Nothobranchius furzeri: one gene and its partner. The protein of the gene in region 1 binds, or shares a complex with, the protein of each later gene. Links are inferred from orthologs where the notes say so. Each region holds a gene or a part of one and is shown on either strand. Other genes may lie near its edges. The genes, in order: paxip1 and h2ax.

Evidence for each region.
Region 2: the proteins of paxip1 (region 1) and h2ax are in contact, whole or in part, in a crystal structure (PDB 3SQD), measured with the Homo sapiens proteins. The link is inferred for Nothobranchius furzeri from reciprocal best matches to the Homo sapiens genes PAXIP1 and H2AX. Residues at the interface, in NP_031375.3 of Homo sapiens: Phe871, Thr872, Gly873, Phe874, Pro876, Lys907, Thr909, Arg910, Thr911, Val912, Lys913, Pro986, Glu1050, Leu1053; in NP_002096.1 of Homo sapiens: Gln138, Ser140, Gln141, Glu142, Tyr143.

The regions. Positions count from the first base shown.
Region 1 is NC_091751.1:66,110,580-66,117,484, reverse strand, and holds part of paxip1 (PAX-interacting protein 1), read right to left. Parts: intron 6,086-6,905; coding exon 6,010-6,085; intron 4,374-6,009; coding exon 3,858-4,373; intron 3,361-3,857; coding exon 3,251-3,360; intron 610-3,250; coding exon 1-609.
Region 2 is NC_091750.1:47,425,357-47,431,677, reverse strand, and holds h2ax (histone H2AX), read right to left. Parts: upstream 2,707-6,321; 5' UTR 2,684-2,706; coding exon 2,177-2,683; 3' UTR 1,755-2,176; downstream 1-1,754. Other genes in the region: phospholipid transfer protein C2CD2L, read right to left, coding at 4,768-5,021, 5,300-5,513, 5,927-6,060. UniProt on the Homo sapiens protein: Variant histone H2A which replaces conventional H2A in a subset of nucleosomes. Nucleosomes wrap and compact DNA into chromatin, limiting DNA accessibility to the cellular machineries which require DNA as a template.

The DNA of each region.
Region 1 (6,905 bases):
GGGCAGTGCTGTCGTCTGCTGTTGGTGAGGGACTACCTGCTGATTCTGATGCTGCAGAACCTGCTTCTGCATCTGCTGCTGTTGCAGGAAATGTTGCTGCTGCTGCTGCTGCTGCTGCTGCTGAAGATGCTGTTGATGCAGTTGCTGCTGATTCTGTTGCTGTAACATGTGCATGCGCTGCTGCTGGTACTGCTGAAGCTGCTGCAACTGCTGGAGACCTGGTCGTAGCAGCTGCTGTGGGCGCAGCTGCTGAGAGAACATCTGGTGTTGATGCATTTGCTGCTGTTGCTGCTGCTGCTGCTGAAGAAACTGTTGTTGCTGTTGAGGCAACTGTGGGAAACCCTGTTGCGCAACCTGTGGCTGTTGCTGCTGAAGCTGCATCATATCGTGCTGCTGCAGGTGCATCATGGGATGCTGTGGTACCTGCTGATGCTGTTGGGCAGGTTGGTGTGGCTGCTGCATGAGCTGATGCTGCCTCTCCGTTGTGAGGGTCTGTGCAGCCACTTTGGTCTGGTTGAACAGAGGGTTGTTACTGTTAGGGGTCTGAGCATGGTTTGGGTTCATCTGCTCCAAAGGCTTTGTCTGACTACTGGTCAGGTTCGGCATTATCTGGAAAAAGTGAGGAAGAACACACGTTTAGCTAAAGAAAGACTACAATCTTCTGTGGAAGGTTAAAGGACTTTACTACCCTGACCGGTAACTGTGTGCAGTTTCTGCTCCCGTAACTTTACGGAGGAACGTGTAATAAAGGACATCTGAGTTGAAGAATTGCTTTATCTATGTTCACAACCTGAAAAACAGCTGATAGGATGTAAGAAATGAGAAATAACTAACATGGATGTCTTATTTTAAATCTGACCATTAAAAATCTGCTTCTTCTGACTTCTAACTTTGATGTCTTAAAGCGACACTAGAGACTTGTAACGCTTTAGGCTGTTGCTTTTAATCTGGTTTCGATGATTCTGAAACCAGAAACTTGACCAACTTCACATGGAACAGCAGTCTGTAGCCCTCTGCTGCTAACAGATTTGTAGTTCTAGCTGTTTACTGTGCTGGTAGCTGATACAAAGCTATTAGCTATTTTTAATTGGCATTATGGTGGAGCCTGGAAGTAAAAATAAGAAAATCGGAGTGAACATCTGCGCAGAATCGTTTATGTCCGCATCGCAATGCATCGATTATTTGATTATTTTCCTCAGCTCTAGACAAAATCACACAAACGGATCAGTGAACAGTAATCCCTCGTTTATCGCGGTAGATGCGTTCCAGACCTGGCCGCGATAGGTGAAAATCTGCGAAGTAGGGACTCCCAGCATGCCCCTCGCAGGGATTCCCTCCACGTCGCACCTACGTCACAAACCGCGGCTATAAACGGAAGTCGCCTTTCCAGCTCACCACTCAGTCATCGTTTCTTCAGATTCATGATCAGAGTTTCCAACCTACCGATCAATCCAACGAACTATCAGCTCATAGTAAGTTATCGTACTTACTTCTGGAAAGCCCGGCATTTCCGTGTCACTTCGTTGACGCTCGAACGCTCGGGGGCTTCCTAGATCAGCCGGCGTTTCACCGACGCTATCACTTCCGCGTCTGTGAAACCACGCTCCCTACAAGCTCAGCTCCCGAATCCAGCCGCCCTGTCTGACATACAGTACTATATTGAATTATCGTATGATCACATTCTCTTTTTGTGGGTAAAACTCAAGAAAAAAATTTTTTTTACTTGTTTTTTTTAGTTTTATTACAAAAAGTGCATTTTATGATGAAATTGATGAAAAAAAAAAACAAGAATTTCTTGATATTTCGCATAGAAAAATACCGCGAATCAGTGAAAAATACCGCGAATCTGCGAATTCCCCCTGAAAAATGCTCCAAAGAAAAAATCCGCGAAGCAGCGAATCCGCGATGAACGAACCGCGAAGTAGCGAGGGATTACTGAACAGCGTAAGGTAACCTGTGTGCCCCACAGAAACACAACTCAGTTGAAAAATGGTGGTGTTGCTGGACATTTTGCTCAGTTTTATGGATTTTTGTCAGACTCTGAACCAGGAAATGGCTGCAGGCAGTGAAACACAAAACTCCGGGGCAACCAGTGACTCCGCCCCCTAGCCAATCAGTGACCAGAATCACAAGCCGGCCCGACTCAGCCTTGCCAGGTACGTCAATGGCGTAGGGACTAAAAGTAGAGGAGAAAGTAGAGGGAAAGTACCGAATCGTGCCCTTGAGAACAGTGGACAGGCCGACCCGCATCGGTCTGAGTTACTCTGAGTAGTGCTCCTGGAAAAACACCTTTAGTTGTGAACGGGGTTCGCAAAACTAAGGCCTGGTTTATGCTTCTCCGTCAGCTCCGCGAGGGACAGACACGCATGGACTGATGGAAGCATTTTGCTCTTTTACTTCTCCGTCTCCTGGAGAGTGTTGCAAAGCAATTGCCCGGCAGGACAACAGAGGGCGTAGCACTGTTCTGTGGTATCCTGTCACGTATCGGTCCAAGATCGTGTGTTTATATTGTGTTTTTTGTGTATATAAGAGACTTTTAACACGGACATATTTGTCTCTCATTCTTCCACCGCTTCATGCGCTCCCCACCTCTAAACCCACGTTTCCTGTCATTTCCGTCCACAAATAAAACGCTTGCTGCGCATCTTTTCACTCCTCCAGTCACGGGAGGATGAAACGTTCATATTTTTAGAGTTTTTTCGCGAGGTATTCTTCAAGCTTCTCCGTGTCTGCCGCTAGTTATCCTCGGCTCTCTTTGCAATGGTGGCGCTGTAAACAACAGCGGCGTCCTGACCAATCACAAGCTTGCATAATCTGTCTCGTTCAATCAATCAATCAATCAATCAATCAAAGCTTTATTTATAAAGCGCCTTCCACAACCCTGTCAGGAAGCCCAAAGCGCTGATGTTCGACGGATGTTTAAAAAAGTGGGCTCGACTCCGTACGTACTTGCGTGCCTGCCGGAGCCCTACTCAAGGACGGATAATGGCGTTGCGTGTCTCCGCACTGACGCAGACGGAGAATCATGAATCAGGTCTTTGATTTATCCTGTGATGCTTCCGGCTCAGGGTGGTCAGCCGAACCCACTCCAACACAGGGCTGAGACACTTCTGCATTGTGTGGGTCATTGTGAGCAAATGACCTAATGAACACAGCATCTCCAGAGAAATACCTTAAGTTGGTCAAACACAAACAATGTGTGAAAATAAGAGCACAGCAGCACATGTGTGACGGGAAGGTGACATCTTACGTGTGCTACAGCAGGTCGGCCGGCTGGCTGCATGTCGGAGCTGTTGGTTATGTTACGAAGGGTTCGAATAGTTTGATTCCATCCAGGGATGCCATCTGTAACGGACACACCTAAAACAGGCAGGGGGAATCTTTATCAGCAGGTTGGCATGTGAGGAGCTAATTCCAAGGCTGAAGTCCTCGTTATGGCTCACTCAGCAGAGTACGGAAGTGGTTGTCATACATATGGGCCATGAATACCATGTTATACCTTTATTTATATATGAATAGATACAACCAGAATCTAAAAGAATTCAAGATGCTGGAACATAAAGAATTACTGTGTAAAAACCCTATGCTGCCAAACTGCACCTCTGTTGCGCACACACGCGCGCACGCACACGCGCACGCACGCACGCGCGCACACACACACACACACACGCACGCGCGCGCGCACGCACGCACGCACGCACTCACGCGCGCACACACACACACACGCACACACACACACACCTTAGCTTAAGTGTTTTCCAAACGCCAGTCCTGCGTATCCACAGACACTCACAGTCTAACAAACCTAAGCCCTGTGAAAGTGACGGTGACAGAAGGCTGGAGTGGTTCTTACTGACCTTGTGAGGAGTGACTGATGGCGGCAGCAGCAGAGCGCGCCTCTGCCGGCATGGCACCACCGCCACCTGGAACAGGCGTCCCTGTAGCACACAGGTTTATCAGCCCACTGCCTGTGCAGGACACCGGATCCTTGCTGCCAGGAGGCCCGCCTCGCCGTCTGGCCATGCCAGTGGGAACAGTTGGAGTGACCACTTCGGCTGGGGTCCAGTTCAAGTTGGTACCCTCCTTCTCTGTGGAGGACTCATCATCAGAGTCATCAAACATTCGCTCTAGGCGCTCTGGTTTTCGGGGGGACGTTGGTGAGATAGAGTTAAGTCGTTTGGGTCCAGGTCTTCTGCGAGGACTAGACTCCTCGCCTGAAGAGCCCCCGCTGGACGCTCTAGATCGCCGAGGGCTGTAGCTTCCATTTGACTGTGAGTGTAAGTCGTAGGACTCTGCCTCGCTCTCCTCCTCTTCCTCAGGCTCCACGTAGGTGAGTCTGGGGTGATAAAGGGTCTCATCTTTCTTAGTTTTATCTGTGAAGAAAATACATGACATAAAAATTAGCTAGCCTGTAAATAAATAGTTTATAAATAAGGTAGAAATAGATAAGTTCCTCATGCAGATAAATAACGACTCCTCTCTGAGCGACACGTTGCTACTGCACCGCTGGACAGGACTAAACAATTATTATGCAACATTTCGTGAACTTCACTAAAACATATATGTTTGTGTTTGTATTTATATTATAAATGCACTGTAATGAGTTAGTCAATACTTGCAAGATACTGGTTGGGCGTGTACTGGGTAAGTTAAACCTCGGCCCGTTGCGTCATAAACTATGAGCAAGTATACTGGCTCTTTCATACTGGGAATTAGGAGTTTTATTTGTGATTATCTTGTTTCTTTTTCTTACTTATTTTTGTCCTGATTGTGCCCTGAGCATTTTAGACTGAATATATAAATTAACAAACAAACAAATAAATAAAATCAACATTAATTTAAAAATTGTCTTAAAGAATCGAGATCTCAATTTCTGTCAAAATATTCGTGATCATCATCATAATCGAGCAGCCACACCAGTCCACCATGAAAACCTCCGGGAACCAAAGATTCTAACGTGAGTCCATCTGACTAACAAATGAGGCTTGGACCGAACCGGGTCATAAAACAGAACCATGATCCAAACACAGCAGATCTACAGAAAAACGTCTTGCAAATAAGGCCTAGTCCACACGTAGCCGGGTTTTTTAAAAACGAATATCCGCCCCTCCAAAAACTTGCATCCACACCACCTCGTTAAAAAAAAAAAAACTGTCCACACGTACCCGGATAAATACGTTGTTAAAGACATGCCAGACCTGTAGGCGGCAGTACTTCCCCCGTTCCTAACCTCGTCCTTCGTCTGTGGTCTTCCGTAAGGAGCAGTAATCCCGCTTGCAAAAACAAACAAGCAAAAAGCGCTTGGACAATTGATAAAGCGAGCGCAGCTCTGAGGGCATCCATGCTGTCGGCTAGTGTAAACACAGGTCGCACACGTGATGTCAGCATTTTTTTGTCGCGGAAAGTGACGTTGCGGACCTTAAAACTCCGGTTTTGTCCGTCCACACGCAGACACCCAAAACGGAGAAAACGCAGATCTTCACTTTGGCCGGAGTTTTTAAAAAGATCCGTTTTCGTGTGAAAAAACTCAGTTTTGGTGTGGATGACAGGCCAAAACGTAGAAAAATATCTACGTTTTGGCAGATCCCCGGCTACGTGTGGACAGGGCCTAAAAGAATCAAGGTTCTGCAATGATCCAGTGAATGTCTGGACCAGAACCTGTCGACGACGGGATGCTAACAGAGTCAGGACCAGAACAGCTCCAGAGCCACACGAAAGAAAATCGATAATACTCAAGAGTTTCTGCTGCTATTTGACCGCCAAATGGACTGGGTTTTTCTCTAGCAGTTTTTCTTACGTTGTGCCTGTTTAATAATTACTGATTGTTGGGTGTTTTTCTACACTTGAGGTTTGACCAGAACCGTTTAGAGCCAGATGAAGACCACATCAGTCCTGTTAATAAAACTCTGGACCTAAAAGAGGGTGGAGTTTGTCTAAACACACAAATAAAAATCACAATAATCACGATTCCTTCTCAGTATTATTGTCTTTGCCATAAAAGTGACGTACCTTTAACAGAGTCTGTGATCCAATCTGGGGTAACTATTTTGATGCCCGAGTGTTTCAGGGCACACTCAAACTTCGCCTGAAAGCACAACAACAAAGACCATCAGAAATGAGAAAATCACATTAAAGAGAGGAGCTGAAAGTTTTTAAAAGTCCACAGTTTTTAATCAGAGGGCGCCATCTGGAGACAGAAAAATGTATAGCAACTCACAACTCAACTAATGGGCCGTTCCCATCTGTACCGGGTCGGCCCGGGCCGGGTAGCGTAGGTTGTTTACATATCTGGGTGGCCTGGTATTTTTCCGGGCCAACCAAGGCTCATTCTCAGCCCTCTTCTCGAGGGGGTCTGCTTCAGGCCGACCAGGACCAACACGCCCACTGCTGACAGCAAATTCACACCTTCCATTAGAGCAAGCCTCTGATTGGTGGGTAGAATCAGCCCACATGGGCTTAAGACAAGGATGTGTGGAATCAACCGGGCCAGGCTGGGGCCGACTGGGGCTACCCGGCCCGGGCCGACCCGGTACAGATGGGAATGGCCCATTACATTAGTGATTACGGCCCAAAGTAACGCATATATACTGCTAGCCACTGTTATAGCAGATCAGTTCATTTTAACCGGAAGCAAAGTGCGACATTTTGGACGCGCCCCAGAAGTGAGGGTACGCCATCATTATGTTTTGAGTCTATTTTTGCAGCGGTCCGCTTGCTGACTGGAACCAGCAAGCGGGATCACATAACCCCGGTTCTGGCCTCTCTCCATTGGCTTCCTGTCTCTTACAGGATCCACTTTAAAATTTTACTTTTTGCTTTTAAATCCCTTCATGGCCTGGCCCCAGTTTACATCTCTGAGCTGCTGTCCGCTTACGTCCCTGCCAGAACCATGAGGTCCAGCTCCC
Region 2 (6,321 bases), on another chromosome or scaffold:
ATCACATTGCTAGACGCCTAAGCTCCACAGGCAGCCATCGCTCTCACGCAAAAAGAAAAGCATCCTTCACAAATCTGACCAGGTGACTTCCACCTGCTCCCGTATCAAAGTAAGTCCGCTGGGAGAAAATCAGAACTGGGTCATGTTAGATCTGCATAAACAATGTTTCTGTTGTATCTCTCCACAGCACACACAAATGCTCTGTTTCTAATTACCAAAGCTGGCAAAGAACATTTTCTTTTCCATGGATGGATTCCCTCCAAAATTAAAAACACAAGGCAAGGCACGCTCCCAAAACTTCATGAGAAAATTCCCCCGGTTGTCTCCGGGATGGAATCGTAACGTTCCCTCTGCACGCCTGCAGAGTTGCTTTCAAAGTGAATGTGTTGGTGCATCGCCCTGCCAGGTCCAACCCTCTCCACAGCTTTTTTCCTCCTTCTCTTCCCACTTTTCATTCCTTTCCCCGTTTAAGTCGAAACACAGCTGTGTTTATCACTAAAAAACACTAGATCTCTAGATTTCCCCAGAAGCACATTTTACAGAATGTAAGTTTGACTAAATTTGGTTTGTCCTGGATGCTGCTTCCACATGAACCCTTTAGCCACAAACAGCTGAAAGCAGGCAGAGCGGTGAATTTAAGGTCTGGGTTAACCATCTGGCTTTCTGAGGCCGGATGTTGGTGTTGGACACGTTGTCAAGGCCCGGGTAATTGGTTCAGTTTGCTGCTTTTGCCATCAATAAAACAGCCAAAGCAAATGGAAATGTCTCAGATTTTGCTGTCATTCATCGTCAAACACCATCACCAAAAATGAAATCTGGACCAGACCCTCCGGCTGAAAGGTGCATGAATTCAGGTAAACTGAATTAACCACATCTGTTGGGACACCTACGTATAAACTATTGCTGTCAGATGTGCTGTGTGGACACGATGAAGCTTTCACACATCTGTCGTAGACTTTTCATGTGGAGTAAGAGTATGGAAGAAGACATGGGGAAGAATGAAGCACGTGCAGATCTCACAGGAAGCAGTCAACCTCTGGTGGTAAAACCAGTGAACAACATCCCCACCTTCACCTCAGCAAACATAACACTCCTCATGTCTTCATACACAGCTTCCAGATTTTTCTTTTAATGTTTGAAAGTGATGATTTGGACACGCAGCAGCAGCTCAGGAGGTAGAGTGGGATGTCCAGTAATCAGAAGGTTGTAGGTTTGACCCTTGCTGTCAGAGAATGCTGCTGTTGTGTCCACGGGCAAGACGACTAACCCACCTTGTCTGGTGGTGGTCGGAGGAACCAGTGTACAACAGGCCTCGCCTCTGCCAGTGTTCCCTAGGGCAGCTGTAGCTACACCGGATCTCCATCACCACCAGCGTGAATGTGCGTGCATGGGTGAATGACTGTGTGTGTGTGTGTGTGTGTGTGTGTGGGGGGGGTTGGGGTAAAAGGGCTATACAAATACAGGCAATTTACTACTTTGCAAGTACTATTATTTTTTCTGCAGGGATTCTGAAGTTAGTTTTTATCGGACTGCTCATCACCCCTCAGTCCAGTAAGTTGAGTCAGTGGTACAGGGACAAGAACTGAAAAACGTGTAAAAGAAACCACAGAGGAAGCCATGAATGTTAACACTATCTGCTCGCGTGTTTTTCTCCATGTGCAATAAGGAAACACCTGGAGCTGCTTGAATAGACAGCCGTTAGTACATTTCATTTGAGACTTCACCACCACACAAACACGTTTCCAGGTGACAGATGTTGTCTTGCAGAACTTTTAATGAAACCGTTTTGTTGTGAACAGGCGTTTCACATGATGAAAACATACAGCAGCCCTGAGAACCTGAGTGCAATGCATAACAAATGTTTAGTTGCCAGTGTGTGCAGCTAGCATTGGATCTGGTCAGTTGCAGAAGAGTTGCTACTTTAAATAACATTCAAGGATGAAAAATAAACTCAGGATGAAGATTTTCAAGTGACATTTCAGGCTAACTGGGGAAATTTAGCCTAATCTTGTTTCTTAGCAAAGGATCTAGCCTGAAAGAAATTACCTTAACACAAGCCTTCAATAACCCAAACAAAATATGCTTTGAGCGACATTGATAAACTAGAAAAGTTGCCCTTTCGGTCGGTGGTTGGCCCTTAAAAGGGCCTTTGGGTTCATTGTGGTTAGCCGTGAAGCTAATACTCCTGAGACTGAGAGGACGCCTTCTTTCCCGCCTTGCCGGAGCTGGGTGCTGCCTGGCCGGCCTTCTTGGGCAGGAGGACGGCCTGGATGTTAGGCAACACGCCTCCCTGAGCGATGGTCACGCCACCGAGCAGTTTGTTCAGCTCCTCGTCGTTACGGACAGCCAGCTGAAGGTGGCGAGGAATGATTCGGGTCTTCTTGTTGTCCCGAGCGGCGTTGCCAGCCAGCTCCAGGATCTCGGCGGTGAGATACTCGAGGACCGCAGCCAGGTAAACAGGAGCTCCGGCGCCCACTCTCTCAGCATAGTTTCCCTTGCGGAGGAGACGGTGAACACGGCCCACAGGGAACTGCAGACCGGCGCGGGAGCTGCGGGTCTTCGCCTTGGCGCGGGCCTTAGCACCGGTTTTACCTCTTCCAGACATTGTTGAAGATCTCTTCCACGAATATGATTTCAATGCAGAAAATCGCAAAGTAGAAAGAAAAAAGGCTCGCCGAGCCATATATAAGCCTCCACGTTAGTCCCGCCCCAAACTACTATTGGATGCTAGAGAGAGAAGCTCTCATTTGTTTGGCTTTAGGAGATCAAACGTTCCAGGAAGCCAGTAACTATTGGTTTGGCTGCTCTGGCTCTACACCAATCATCGAGGAGTCTGACCAATAGACAAAGGTAATTGGTTGTTTATTTGTTCACCCAGTTTCACGCGGGTCACGTGTCAGAAGGAAGACCAATAGACGGTCTTCCCTCCAGCTTTAAACGTTTTGGCGCGTTACCGAACGAAAAGTGAACATTTCAAGCGATTTAATGAGTATTGATACAGTAAAGTATTGAATAATGTTGTCAGGGTTTTTGACCAAGATCGAAATGTGGTGACACATGTATCACAATTATACATGAGGACAATTTATTAAAATGCGCAAAATGTGCTTGAAGTAAGCTTACACTGCACAAACTGTGTGAGGGAGGGCCAGCAAGACATGGAAAATTCCACCATCCTCCCCCACTGAGACGAAGCTAATCCTAGGCAGCTCAGCAAATAACCATTTTACTGGTAAAAATATATACCTTTTACAAAAACAAGACCATATTAACTAAGTGCACAATCAACATTAGGGTTGAAAAATAATTTATTTGCAATAAATTACATTTTCAAAATATAACTGGGGCCTCACATCTTGAATTTTACAGCCACTTTTTCAAATTACATTCACATATCACTACATGTATATGTATGTGTGCTTTCAGGCAGGAGAGTGGTTTTGATCTGTTCTGCATTTTTAATTAGTTTGACAGTATTGTCCATACAGTACTGGCTTAATGTTTGGCATGTCCATTTGATAATATTTAATCAGATTAAATATTTATTTAAAAACACAGTAATTGAATAATTGATTTTGGTTGTTATGAGGTCCCAAAATTATTGCAGTTATTTCAAATGAGGTTTTTATAAGAGAAAAAAAATCATATGTACAGTTTTACAATTGGTTCTGATTGCTGCAGCAATTATCATTTTGTGTGTCTAGTTGTTAATATTTTTTTTCCAGCCCTGAGAGCAGTTCCACGTATAAAAAACTCTTAAACTTGGTTCTAATTGCCTGAGCTGAACCCTGACAGTCCAAGTGGATTGAATTAAATATGTTTATGACAATAATTCTCCTAAATACAACATTTTGCTGTTTGTGTAATATAAATTAATCAAATGTGTGACTGTTTGTTGTAAAATATGTTTTCTTAGTGAAGCACTGAGCTGCTGCAACTCAGCTATACCTGATCATTGTAAATCGTTTACCGACATGTTTATTTTTAAAGTTGATAGTCTTTCTTTATTTTTATTTTTTATTTTTTACAGATTAAGCTTATTGCCCAGCACGAGATGCCTGCTGACTGAACTATCAAAATCAAACCATAGTTATGATATTCCACAGAAAATAATTATCACACAAAATTACGATAAATACACCATCTTCTCTGCTTTTTATGCGATTAAACATGAATTTTAAAAGTAATTTTTAAGTAATCACAAATAAACAACACATTTTAACAGAGAAAGTTATATTAACTTACTTAAAGGTCTTCAAAATTAAATTTGCATAGAAAAGAATGCCAACGTCACTATTTTACAGTGCAATGCAGCGAGGATGACTTGTTTTGGGTTGATGAAATAAATAATATGGTTTATAAATCACACAGAATAATAAATTATCATTTTACACCCAACAAAATTTTACATGTGCTGTAAAAAAACAAATAAAGCATCAGTCCAAAGTGCATTTACATCATTAGTCTGAGTATATCCACCACCGATTCTGATCAAACCCTCTAGTGTGTGTTAGGAGTGTTTCATCGTAGTGACTTCCTTCTCACCAAGCAGCACGATTTTGTCTCCTCAAACAAACAAAAAGAGTTCATCATCACATTTGAGATCCAGCATTGCTGTCACAGGACTTCTGTGTTGAAGGTGCAATTCCTTGTTTCTAGACAGGATCCCTCCCAGCGGCATCCTTAGAAGTGTGGGTGACAGCCCACAGTGTGTGTTCAGCGATTCCAGCAGCTCCTTTTGAGCTACAACGACCTTCGTGATATCGATCAGTTCTCCACTGAACTTGCTCCTCCGTTCGTAGAAGCAGCTTTGCCTTTTGACTTGCCAGACGAGCGTAAGGAGAAGCGTTTGATGAGACGCCGCGAGAAGCTGCCAGACTTTTTACGGATGCTGCTTGCAGCTGGAGCAGCGAAGTTGTTGCCAATGTTGGAGATGTCCTCGTGGGACTGGCTGAGGCAAGGCTCCTTCTCTCGATGCTTTCTACGAAACAAAAGCTTCGAGCCGCTCTGGAGAAAGCCCACTGCAGAAAGCAGGTACATCACTTTATCTACTGATTATATGACATCACCATTTATCCAATGTAAAGCAATCATTGTGAAAACCACCAGGGGGCAGCATCAGCACAGTGATCCTTAGAAGTTATGTAACGCTGTTCAGTTTGTAGTGACACTTTGAAATTATGCTTTATTGACAAAAAACAATATGCAAAATAAATCTATTTAAATTAATACATTTAGCAAACATCTGCATGGAGTTTTTAATTCCTGCTCTATGTCAACAATGAGCAAACATTATTACCTTTATGATCCTTCAGGCTGCGGGTTTCCAAGGCACCAGCAGAACCAGTATCAGACTCTACATCGTCCACAGACGGACGCTCCGACACCTCAGAGGGAGTGGTTTCATCCGGGTCCTGGTGATGACCTCCCCTGTAATGGTTGCCGTGCATGGCTGCATCCATGGATGCTGCGTAGCCGCTTGACAACGCACAGTGATCCTCAGTGAGTGGAACCTGATATGCAACAAACATCAAATCATTTATTATGTATGAAGACAGGAAGCTTGTTTAAGGTCTGCTCTCATGATAATCAGTTTCTTTAGTTTTACTAATAAAAGCAGACGCTTCCAGTGGCTTCTGTGTCAAGGGCACCAACTTCACACACACACACACAGACACACACGGGGTTTCTACAAATTTTCTTCCAACAATCAGGTCAGTAGACTCGTTCTACTAGTGTAGTAGGGCGCTGTGATGCGAGACTAAATTTAGATCACACTCCTCTCGCCTGCGTCCATGTGAGTATTTTATATCCTTATCAGACTTCACTTCCAACATCTCAAAGGGCTACAAAGAATCATAACGGCTCATCGCTAAAAGGTAGAGATGTTTCATGTGTAATTCTGGAAGGAACAGCGTCCTCTGACCTTTGACACTCCGGATATGATTAGTGTGCTCCGTTTTGTTGGGGTCTTCCTTGCTGTTTTGGACGCCGACTCTGTCAGCTGCCGAATGGCCGTCTCCGCGACGGGATCCAGGCCGTTAGAGAGCCGACTGCTCTCTGTGCAGCAAAAACACAAATATGGAAATCAGGGCTGCTTGTTCGATCCAGTTGCTCAAAAACACGATCAAGCTGAGCTTTCTGACACTTCACAACCTTTAAAAAAAGCATATTTTATTGTTTTTTTGTATTCTGTGGGTTTGGGTAGAGCAGCACTCGCTCAGAGGGAATTAAGGGTGCCTAATAGTGCTTTCCTCTCCACTCAGGTTACACGGCTGCTCGCCGCTTATCCTGCTTTGCATCTGTTTTGTGAAACAATGT